2 linked regions of the Drosophila melanogaster genome follow. The protein of the gene in region 1 interacts with the protein of each later gene in a biochemical or structural test. Each region holds a gene or a part of one and is shown on either strand. Other genes may lie near its edges.

Evidence for each region. Proteins that work in one complex are often made in the same cells at the same time.
Region 2: of the proteins of inaC (region 1) and inaD, one has a biochemical effect on the other in vitro, tested with the Drosophila melanogaster proteins (3 studies listed by BioGRID, with this or other methods).

The regions. Positions count from the first base shown.
Region 1 is NT_033778.4:16,896,877-16,902,088, forward strand, and holds inaC (inactivation no afterpotential C), read left to right. Parts: upstream 1-1,658; 5' UTR 1,659-1,768; coding exon 1,769-2,046; intron 2,047-2,207; coding exon 2,208-2,239; intron 2,240-2,293; coding exon 2,294-2,488; intron 2,489-2,548; coding exon 2,549-2,677; intron 2,678-2,738; coding exon 2,739-2,895; intron 2,896-2,955; coding exon 2,956-3,184; intron 3,185-3,238; coding exon 3,239-3,636; intron 3,637-3,699; coding exon 3,700-3,901; intron 3,902-3,960; coding exon 3,961-4,149; intron 4,150-4,206; coding exon 4,207-4,347; intron 4,348-4,408; coding exon 4,409-4,561; 3' UTR 4,562-4,699; downstream 4,700-5,212. UniProt on the Drosophila melanogaster protein: This is a calcium-activated, phospholipid-dependent, serine- and threonine-specific enzyme. This isozyme is a negative regulator of the visual transduction cascade and has been shown to be required for photoreceptor cell inactivation and light adaptation.
Region 2 is NT_033778.4:22,855,179-22,860,633, reverse strand, and holds inaD (inactivation no afterpotential D), read left to right. Parts: upstream 1-1,839; 5' UTR 1,840-2,035; coding exon 2,036-2,072; intron 2,073-2,422; coding exon 2,423-3,033; intron 3,034-3,087; coding exon 3,088-3,178; intron 3,179-3,240; coding exon 3,241-3,596; intron 3,597-3,660; coding exon 3,661-3,885; intron 3,886-3,944; coding exon 3,945-4,056; intron 4,057-4,113; coding exon 4,114-4,253; intron 4,254-4,313; coding exon 4,314-4,610; intron 4,611-4,680; coding exon 4,681-4,872; 3' UTR 4,873-4,946; downstream 4,947-5,455. Other genes in the region: RpL23 (ribosomal protein L23), read right to left, coding at 4,992-5,189. UniProt on the Drosophila melanogaster protein: Involved in the negative feedback regulation of the light-activated signaling cascade in photoreceptors through a calcium-mediated process.

The DNA of each region.
Region 1 (5,212 bases):
ATTGTTTGGCGACGCCATGGAAATGATGACGTAAATTGAAAGCCAAAGCTGCCACGGCAACGAAATCTATTTGCAATTCCCTCTGCTCGCCGAAACCCCCTTGTCAATGCCTTTCAACCGACAGGTGTGCAGTTCTGTAGTTCTGGGCAATCTGCGAGTGCATATTTGTCGACTCACTGAGTGCACTTCTGAGATACAGATACGCGTGCCGCTGCAGATACTTAGATACTTTGACTTGGACCTGCTTTAATGGCATTTTTCCCCGACAAAGGTCCTACATTTCCGCTTTAATGCATTTTCCAACCCATTTCATCGCTGCTTTCGGTAGCGTTTTTAGTTGTTTCAGCTTGGATTTCAGCTAACCGCTTTTATTTTGTATTTTGTTTGCCTTGCCAGCCAGCGTGTCCTTCTGTGTCCTGTGTGCACTTTGTGCTCAATTCTGCGTTTTCTATTTCTATTTTTAGCCCTGCACTGAAAGCCAGCTGGCTTGCAGGGGCGGCGCTTAAATGGGGGGTTCTTTCACGGAAAACGTGCCCTGCCAGCAATTGCATAAATTAATCAAAACTGCCACACAGTATAAATACTCAATCGACAATAGTCACACATACACACACACACACACATAGAAGCTTTCGCACATCACCATTTTCCGAAACCCCTTCGCCCACTTTTCCAATTTTATTGCATTGACGTCACAGCTGCAGTTGTCCGGAGCAATGGCTCCGATGATGATTATGTTTGTCTTCTGGCCAGGTAAGCACCTTCTTGACCTTTCCCAAGCTGTTTACACTTATCGCTGGTAAGGGCCCAAAGACGAGAGTTCTTGGCTTTCACTCTTCGGTCCTCCGTTCGATTGACGGGACGTCGTTGAGTGCTTTTTCCTGGGGGACAATTGCGATGGGGGCTAACTGCCGAACTAACTGAATCAGCGTGGATAAGTGCTGATTACCCAGGCATAGAGCAAATGGTTGCATGGCAACTTGTGTAAGATCTATAGGGACTAGTAGTAAGGATGCTTTGGACATGACATTCATTGTTATGAAATGGTTAAAAGCATTAAATTTGACTTTTAAAATGCGCACACATATATTAAGTACCTAGAAATTGACAGAAATTAATCATACAAAGTCTCAAATATTACACAATTGTTTAACACCGATTTACGCTAACAAAGGCACAATTTAATTGTGGTAAATAGTTCCACAAATGTCCGATTTTAAATAATTAAAAAAACATGCAATAAAGAGGCTATAAAATATTATTCACTTTGATATGTGCATAATTAACGTTTAATATTCGTGTGTTTACTCACACATATTTTATTTTCTTTTAGCTGCTTTACATGTGCAGAAATAATTTTAAATCAGAAGGGTATTTTTCTGAAACATTTCTCTTATGGTTTTTTTTTGATATGTATGAGCAGTATTATGTTGTATTTATATTACATTTTTTATTCAGTCTACACAAATATAATGAGATATGGATAAGGAGGTTTCTATAAGCTAGGAACAAATACATATTTGGAAAATTTATGAATGAAATTACGTCTTATGCACTATTGCATAAGTCCAAACTGTCGCCCGTTTGCATCACTCTGTGTCATTTTCTTGCCTTCAACTTTGTGTGTGCACTTTGTTGGCTTCCAAGTTGCTTCTTTTAGGGTCTTCACCTGACCGACCGGGTCAGTTTCTAGACGGGCTTGAAACCGTACGGTCTGAGTCAGCTTTTTCTCTTCACTAGCTATCCAATTCCCTGACATTATCTTTTAATGGCTGCGGCTGCTGTTGCCACACCGGGGGCCACTGTGCTCCCTCCCTCGGTGCCCAGTGCCGCTCCAGGGGCCAAGGCTCCAGCGGCTGGAGCTGGCAAAGGTCCAGGAAATCTACTGGAGATCACTGGCGAAGCAAATATCGTCAACTATATGAAGAATCGTCTAAGGAAGGGTGCGATGAAGCGAAAGGGTCTCGAAATGGTCAATGGTCATCGTTTCGGAGTTAGATTCTTTAAGAATCCAACCTACTGCGGTCATTGCAAGGATTTCATCTGGTGAGAAATTTCGTTTTCGGTTTTTGCTGGCATCTCAGCGTTCCCATCGTTAATTTAATTAGTGCCTTCGTTGCTGACACACTTTTCGTTGTTTTTTCTATATTTTTTTCGCTGTTCTTCCGTTTCGCATTGTTGCATTCGCGGATTCGTGCCGGGATTAGGGGCTTTGGCAAGCAAGGTTTTCAGTGCGAGGGTAGGTAGAAATGTTCACAATTTAAAAAATCTTTTAAAATATTTGCATACGCAGAATGCCGCTTCAACATTCACCAGAAGTGCTGTAAATTTGTGGTGTTCAAATGTCCTGGCAAGGACACGGACTTCGATGCCGACTGCGCTAAGGTGAAGCACGGCTGGATTTCCACCACCTACACCACACCGACATTCTGCGACGAGTGCGGACTGCTGCTCCATGGAGTCGCCCATCAGGGCGTCAAGTGCGAGAGTAAATTCCTGAATAAACTCGAGTCCTATTGCTTTCAAGCTATTAACCCAAATATTTCAGATTGCAACCTAAATGTGCATCACGCCTGCCAGGAGACAGTGCCACCGATGTGTGGTGCGGACATCAGCGAGGTGAGGGGTAAACTACTGCTATACGTCGAGCTTAAGGGCAATAACTTGAAAGTTGATAGTAAGTTATTACTTAAAGTTTATATGCCCATATAAAGATTAATGTTTCTTTCATACTGCAGTTAAGGAGGCAGCTAACCTCATTCCCATGGATACCAACGGGTTTAGCGATCCCTATATTGCAGTGCAAATGCATCCGGACCGTTCGGGGCGCACCAAAAAGAAGACCAAGACCATTCAGAAAAACCTCAATCCAGTGTTCAACGAGACTTTTACTTTGTAATAGTTGAAAACTAATCCTCTAAATAGACCTCTTTACCATATTTTCTTTAATCCTAGTGAGTTGCAGCCGCAGGACCGTGACAAGCGTTTGCTCATCGAGGTTTGGGATTGGGATCGAACTTCTCGCAATGATTTCATGGGATCGTTCTCGTTCAGCCTGGAGGAACTGCAAAAGGAGCCAGTTGATGGCTGGTATAAGTTTCTGTCGCAAGTGGAGGGTGAACATTATAACATACCCTGTGTGGATGCCTTTAATGATATAGCTCGCTTAAGGGATGAAGTTAGGGTAAGCGGATGTCCTCACCAAGTTTGCCACATATTTAATATTCCTGATTTTCAGCACGATCGTCGTCCGAATGAAAAGCGTCGCATGGACAACAAGGATATGCCGCATAATATGAGCAAACGCGATATGATTCGAGCTGCTGATTTCAACTTTGTTAAAGTTATTGGCAAGGGATCCTTTGGCAAAGTCCTGCTGGCCGAGCGTCGTGGCACGGATGAGCTGTATGCCGTGAAGGTCCTGCGAAAGGATGTCATTATCCAAACGGACGATATGGAGCTGCCAATGAATGAGAAGAAAATTCTAGCCCTATCCGGACGTCCTCCTTTCCTCGTCTCCATGCACTCATGTTTCCAGACTATGGACCGATTATTCTTCGTAATGGAGTACTGTAAGGGTGGAGATCTTATGTACCATATGCAGCAGTATGGAAGGTTCAAGGAGTCTGTGGCTATGTGAGTACAAATATTTATATTCAAGTACCATATTTTGAAATCTTCTATATATTATGTGCTTAGTTTTTACGCTGTGGAAGTGGCTATTGCTCTGTTTTTCCTCCACGAGCGTGATATTATCTATAGAGATCTAAAGCTGGACAACATTTTGCTGGATGGTGAGGGGCATGTAAAGCTGGTCGACTTTGGATTGAGCAAAGAGGGCGTTACCGAGCGGCAGACCACACGAACCTTTTGTGGTACTCCAAATTATATGGCTCCCGAAGTAAGTAAATCAGCCGAAAAAAATAAGTGTAAAAATAATCAGCTTAAAAATAATTTAAGATTGTTAGCTACGATCCGTATTCCATCGCCGCTGATTGGTGGTCTTTTGGTGTATTGCTTTTCGAATTCATGGCAGGTCAGGCTCCATTCGAAGGAGATGATGAAACTACTGTCTTTAGGAACATAAAGGACAAGAAGGCGGTGTTTCCAAAGCATTTCAGCGTGGAGGCCATGGATATAATAACGAGCGTAAGTGTTGGATTTCAAAAACATATGAATCTAATGGTATAGATTTGTATTCCAAAGTTCCTGACCAAAAAGCCCAACAATAGATTGGGTGCAGGCCGCTATGCCAGACAGGAGATTACCACGCATCCTTTCTTCCGGAATGTGGACTGGGATAAGGCAGAGGCATGCGAAATGGAGCCACCTATTAAGCCAATGATTGTAAGCTAAAACAGGAGCCCCACTAGGAAATCATTTTATTGTAATCTTGGGTACATTTCAGAAACATCGCAAGGATATAAGCAACTTTGATGATGCCTTTACCAAGGAGAAGACGGACTTAACTCCAACGGACAAGCTTTTTATGATGAATTTGGACCAGAACGATTTTATCGGATTTTCTTTCATGAATCCCGAGTTTATAACCATCATTTAAAATGGTCTAAAAAAAAGCTTTGAGAAAAGTTTATAGGCTTCTTCGAAAAACTAGGCTTTTGCAAGTTAATTTACCGAAATTTATTTATTGTATCCTTCGCTAAAAGCCATCTAAATGTTCATTAAAGCTTTAACGCTTAAAGCTCTGATATTTAGTGGGTGGATTTTTCTTTTGGCTTTCTCTCTTTTAAGAGACAGCTTTTCACCACTAACATTAACATTTCCTCTGAAGCCCAGATAGTAAAAGAAAACAGAGAAAGTTCCGGACCAGCAGCTGATTGCTTTCTCTTTCTCTCTTTTCGGAAGGGGAAATCCTTTTGTGGAAACTCACCACTCGAGAGCACCTGAATTAGTTACGCATACGCCGCGTGTGCTCCACTCAAGGAAACCCTGACAGGAAGTTTCAAGATTGCCAGTGGGCTAACTAGCCAACTTTGGTTAAAATCTAAACTCATCAACAGGCTTGAAAGTTTTTAGTTATGTATGTCGAATTTCAAAGTTGCTCACAAGGCCACAACTTATTGCCGTTCATGTGGGTATGATGAAAATTCTTCGAACATTTTTGCCCAAATCCATCTTGCGGGTCGAGCGTAAAATTCAACGGGGTGAAAAGCGGTTTAACGGGTCGCCAAATAGTTTTCCTGTGCCAGGG
Region 2 (5,455 bases), 6.0 Mb from region 1:
CGATTATTAGCAATTTGATATAACTGCATGTAAGTACAACACGAGAACAAGTCAACAACGGATTCGCCTGCACACACACACACACACACACACACACAGACACGTGTGGCCACTTACATAAGGACGAGTGGGTGTATGTGTGTGAGTGTGTTTGCCTGTGTGACAGCCAACAGTGGAAAATCACTTCAGTTAACTAAATCCCCGCAACAACCATGCGCCGACTGCGCCGCAGCAGCACGACTTCTGCAGGAGCGGACAGAGAGAGAGAGAGAGAGAAGGAGAGAGAGAAACAGAGAGCGGAACAGCCGAAAAGGACACGGCACAAAGCAGCCATTGCAGGGGCGTGGCCTGCGGCCAGAGAGCCAATCGGAGGGCGAGGTCTTGCGAACAGCGACGTCGGCAGCGGCAGAGGCTGCAAGGGACGAGGAGAGAGCGGGGCGGGGCTGGGGGAAGAGGTGGAAAAGGGGGCGGCAGCGTTAAGCTCATTGCCATATTTTCGCTGTGCTCTCTTTTGAATTTACTTTACTAACAAAACATGACTGTTGGGAGGCAAAAAGGAAATTGTTTTATCAAATGGGTTTCCTTACGCTTTTTTATTATGAAATTAATTTCCAGCATCGTTTCGCAGTCGTTGACGTTCCACTCCCATCGCTCTCACTCCCACTCTCCGTTGGGTTCGCCATTTTCCAGTTTAAACCCCATTTTGCGCCCAGCTCCTTTGAGCATGTGTTTACTCTAGTTTTCCTTTGGAGCTGCCTTAGCCATTCCACTTTCGTTTCATTCCGTTCGGGCAATGTTCGGGAAATGTTTGCATAGTCATATTCTCCCTTCCCTGCCTCCAGTTTCCTTTTTTCATACCGCCTTTCCCCCCGACAAAGGCATTAAAATGCAAATCTTGATTATGAATTTAAGCTCGGCAGACAAATTAAATTTATTTGCCACTCGAAAGATAAAAATCTTGAAAGTTTTATTTGATTACCGCTTGTGTCTGGTTCAGAAGTTCCCCAGCAATCCTTACCAATTCGCATTGAAATTGTTGCCTACTTTTTGGGGCTATATTATTGATACTGAATATATACAGTTCATATTCAATATCATATCATTGTCACCTTACATTTTATATTTATTTACTCTTTATTCTTCGGTATTTTGTGCGCATTTTATTATTGTTTTTTTATTAAGGATATTATATGTTTTAAAAATGTCCCCCACAAATTGTTGTTATTTGCAGTGCCGATATAGAAGCTCTCGCCCAGGTAAAAGTGTGTGAGACATATGTTATTCAGTTGTAAGTGCAATGAAAGAAAAATATAAAATCGATGGGCATTGCTGGTCAACACTTGGTGGGCTTCTCCTGGCGGAGTGTTGAGTTCAGCACGGGCCAAATCGTACCAACAAATTAATAACTTGATAGGGCCAATAAAGGTACATGGGTATCCATTTTCCCCTAGCCTTCACATCCGCGATGGTAACCCATATAATGGCCGTCTTCGGGGAGCTGGGTGTTTTGTGAGTGGTGTCATAACAGACAGTGAAAGTTACTCAATTCATTGGAGGCACCTCCTCCGAATCGATAGCACTGTACTGCAAGGTAATATTTTAATGGGTAATCTCAAGATACGAAACATTTTCATTATTATTAGTAGAATTTTTCTTTTACTCAAGCATTCTTTAGAAGGAAAGTTTGTGAAAGTGTCTTAGCATATATGTATGAACTACATGCATCTGGTACTCTAAGATCAACCCTGCTGACCAGTGTAATCGATACGAAAATCATACTCAAAATAGAATGGCCACTAAGTCAGTTAGCAAGAATGTTCGCCCGCTAATTGTAAAATCAGTTTAGGCGCACTTTTCAATGGACTCAAATCGGGCGCAGCCAACGCGGAATATTCACAAATAATAATTAAGTGAAAACCCATAACAATAAATATTCGATATTACATTTGAGCTTAATTCGGTGCGCTTAATGTCCGGTCAGTGAGTCGCGAGTTTTTGGCTAGGATTACGGAGCAGTCGATCTCAAGCAGCGAGGATGGTTCAGTTCCTGGGCAAACAGGGCACCGCGGGTGGTCAGTGTCCATTGAGTGGTTTCATGACCAACTGCTAATCAAATTTGCAGCTAGTCCCGAAAGAACTTGACCTTCCAAAGGTCACTCAATACTCGTTTTGTGTTTTATGAATCAAATAAAACAAAATTTGAACAAAAGCCAATTCAATTGACTTTATTGATTCTTAAGAATCCTGTGAGAAATATGTTTATGTAATGAACTTAACCTTAACATTTATATAAACGATTATACAATATTGGTGAAAATTATTTTGCGAAAGGATACCAAGTGGGATAAGGACCCCAATAAATATTTATTAGTAATAGCTTCACATTTGTCTTAGTCGTACTTTAACAATACGTTGTAAATAGTTTTTATTTCATTTGGAATGCACAATCCTTTCCCAGAGCTCATTCACATGGTGACCCTGGACAAGACGGGCAAGAAGTCCTTCGGCATCTGCATAGTGCGCGGCGAGGTGAAGGATTCGCCCAACACCAAGACCACCGGCATCTTCATCAAGGGCATTGTGCCCGACAGTCCCGCGCATCTGTGTGGTCGCCTAAAGGTTGGCGATCGGATCCTCTCGCTCAACGGAAAGGATGTGCGCAACTCCACCGAACAGGCGGTCATCGATCTCATCAAGGAGGCGGACTTCAAGATCGAACTGGAGATTCAGACCTTCGACAAGAGCGATGAGCAGCAGGCCAAGTCAGATCCGCGGAGCAATGGCTACATGCAGGCCAAGAACAAGTTCAACCAGGAGCAGACCACCAACAACAATGCGTCCGGAGGTCAGGGAATGGGGCAAGGTCAGGGTCAGGGTCAGGGAATGGCTGGCATGAACCGGCAGCAATCGATGCAGAAGCGGAATACCACATTCACGGCCTCGATGCGTCAGAAGCATAGTAACTACGCCGACGAGGATGACGAGGACACCCGGGACATGACCGGTCGCATTCGCACGGAGGCGGGTTATGAGGTGGGTTAACCCAAGGTCGCCACCCATCGCTCTACTAACTTATAAGTACCTTAGATCGATCGAGCATCCGCCGGTAATTGCAAACTCAACAAGCAGGAAAAGGATCGCGACAAGGAGCAGGAAGATGAATTTGGCTACACGATGGGTAAGACTCAATTGAAGCCATTAAAAAATGTCAGTCACACAGCACGTGAATGCCATTCCCAGCTAAGATCAACAAGCGGTACAACATGATGAAGGATCTGCGCAGGATCGAGGTCCAGAGGGACGCCAGCAAGCCACTGGGACTCGCACTCGCTGGCCACAAGGACCGCCAGAAGATGGCCTGCTTTGTTGCCGGTGTGGATCCCAACGGAGCATTGGGTAGCGTGGACATCAAACCGGGCGACGAGATCGTCGAGGTCAACGGCAATGTGCTGAAGAATCGCTGCCACTTGAACGCTTCCGCCGTGTTCAAGAACGTGGATGGGGATAAGCTCGTGATGATCACCTCGCGACGCAAGCCCAACGATGAGGGCATGTGCGTCAAGCCCATCAAGAAGTTCCCCACCGCGTCTGATGAGGTCCGTACTTTTCACTTCTTTTCGGATGGATCCTGCGATAAAATGTCCTTCCCTTCTATTCCAGACTAAGTTTATCTTCGACCAGTTTCCCAAGGCGCGCACGGTGCAGGTGCGCAAGGAGGGTTTCCTGGGCATCATGGTCATCTATGGCAAGCACGCTGAGGTGGGAAGTGGCATTTTCATCTCGGATCTGAGAGAGGGATCGAATGCCGAGTTGGCGGGCGTGAAAGTGGGCGACATGCTGCTGGCCGTTAATCAGGATGTAACACTGGAATCCAACTACGATGATGTGAGTCGTCAGGAAGCCCTCCAACCACTTAGTTTAAAACCATTTCATATCCACTTCAGGCTACTGGACTGCTTAAACGTGCCGAGGGCGTAGTGACCATGATTCTATTGACTCTCAAGAGCGAGGAGGCGATAAAGGCTGAGAAGGCGGCGGAAGAGAAAAAGAAGGAGGGTAGGTATTGCGTCCAAGCAAGTTCAAAACTGACATCTTCATCCCGATAACTCACAGAGGCCAAGAAAGAGGAGGAAAAGCCACAGGAACCCGCCACAGCCGAGATCAAGCCGAACAAAAAGATACTCATTGAGTTGAAGGTGGAAAAGAAGCCAATGGGCGTCATCGTCTGCGGCGGCAAGAACAACCATGTCACGGTGGGCTATCTGAACTTTCTGTTTCTGCAAGAAGTACCTTAAACAACTTTTCCCTGACAGACTGGCTGTGTAATCACCCACGTTTATCCGGAGGGACAAGTGGCAGCCGACAAGCGCCTCAAGATCTTTGACCACATTTGCGATATAAATGGTACGCCAATCCACGTGGGATCCATGACGACACTGAAGGTCCATCAGTTATTCCACACCACATACGAGAAAGCGGTCACCCTAACGGTCTTCCGCGCTGATCCTCCGGAGCTGGAAAAGTTTAACGTTGACCTTATGAAAAAAGCAGGCAAGGAGCTGGGCCTGTCGCTTTCTCCCAACGAAATTGGATGTACCATCGCGGACTTGGTGAGTGCACATACACCACTGGTATACAGTGGTAGGAAGGCTCAACCCTAAGTAACTACTTTCTCGACAGATTCAAGGACAATACCCGGAGATAGACAGCAAACTGCAGCGCGGCGATATTATCACCAAATTCAATGGCGATGCCTTGGAGGGTCTTCCGTTCCAGGTGTGCTACGCCTTGTTCAAGGGAGCCAACGGCAAGGTATCGATGGAAGTGACACGACCCAAGCCCACTCTACGTACGGAGGCACCCAAGGCCTAGAGACGATCCTCATTCTCCTCCTCCGGTAGCGAAGCAGTGCAGCAATTCAATAAAAGAACCAACAATTCGAATTCAAAACAATCTGTTTTCCGTTGTGGGTTTATTGAAAAGGAAACTCCTTAGGCTATAGAGCTTGCATTGGATGCAATACGGGGCCACAGATCGGCGCATTCCTTGGCCACCGGTCCAGTGATGGCCGAGCCCTTCATTTCGCCCTTGTTGTTTACTATTACCCCGGCATTGTCCTCAAAGTATATAAACACCCCGTCCCTCCTCCTGAACGGTTTGCGCTGCCGAATAACCACGGCAGGCATGACCTGGAAACAAATGAAAATAGTAGTTAGCAAAGTTGCTCGGCAGTGTGCAAACCTCCTGCTGCATCGGTTAGTTATGCAAAAGTGCGTTGTTATAGGTGGGGGAATTATGAGAAGTGCAGTGAAACCGTTTTATAAACCTTCTTCACTACAATTTTAAATTCTTATCAATAAACAAAAATATTAAAAACGTGAGTTTGGTGCGATAAGCTATCTTAGCCGGCACAAAACATGTGGGGAAAATTTATTGGAAGCGTAAGGAGAAACCT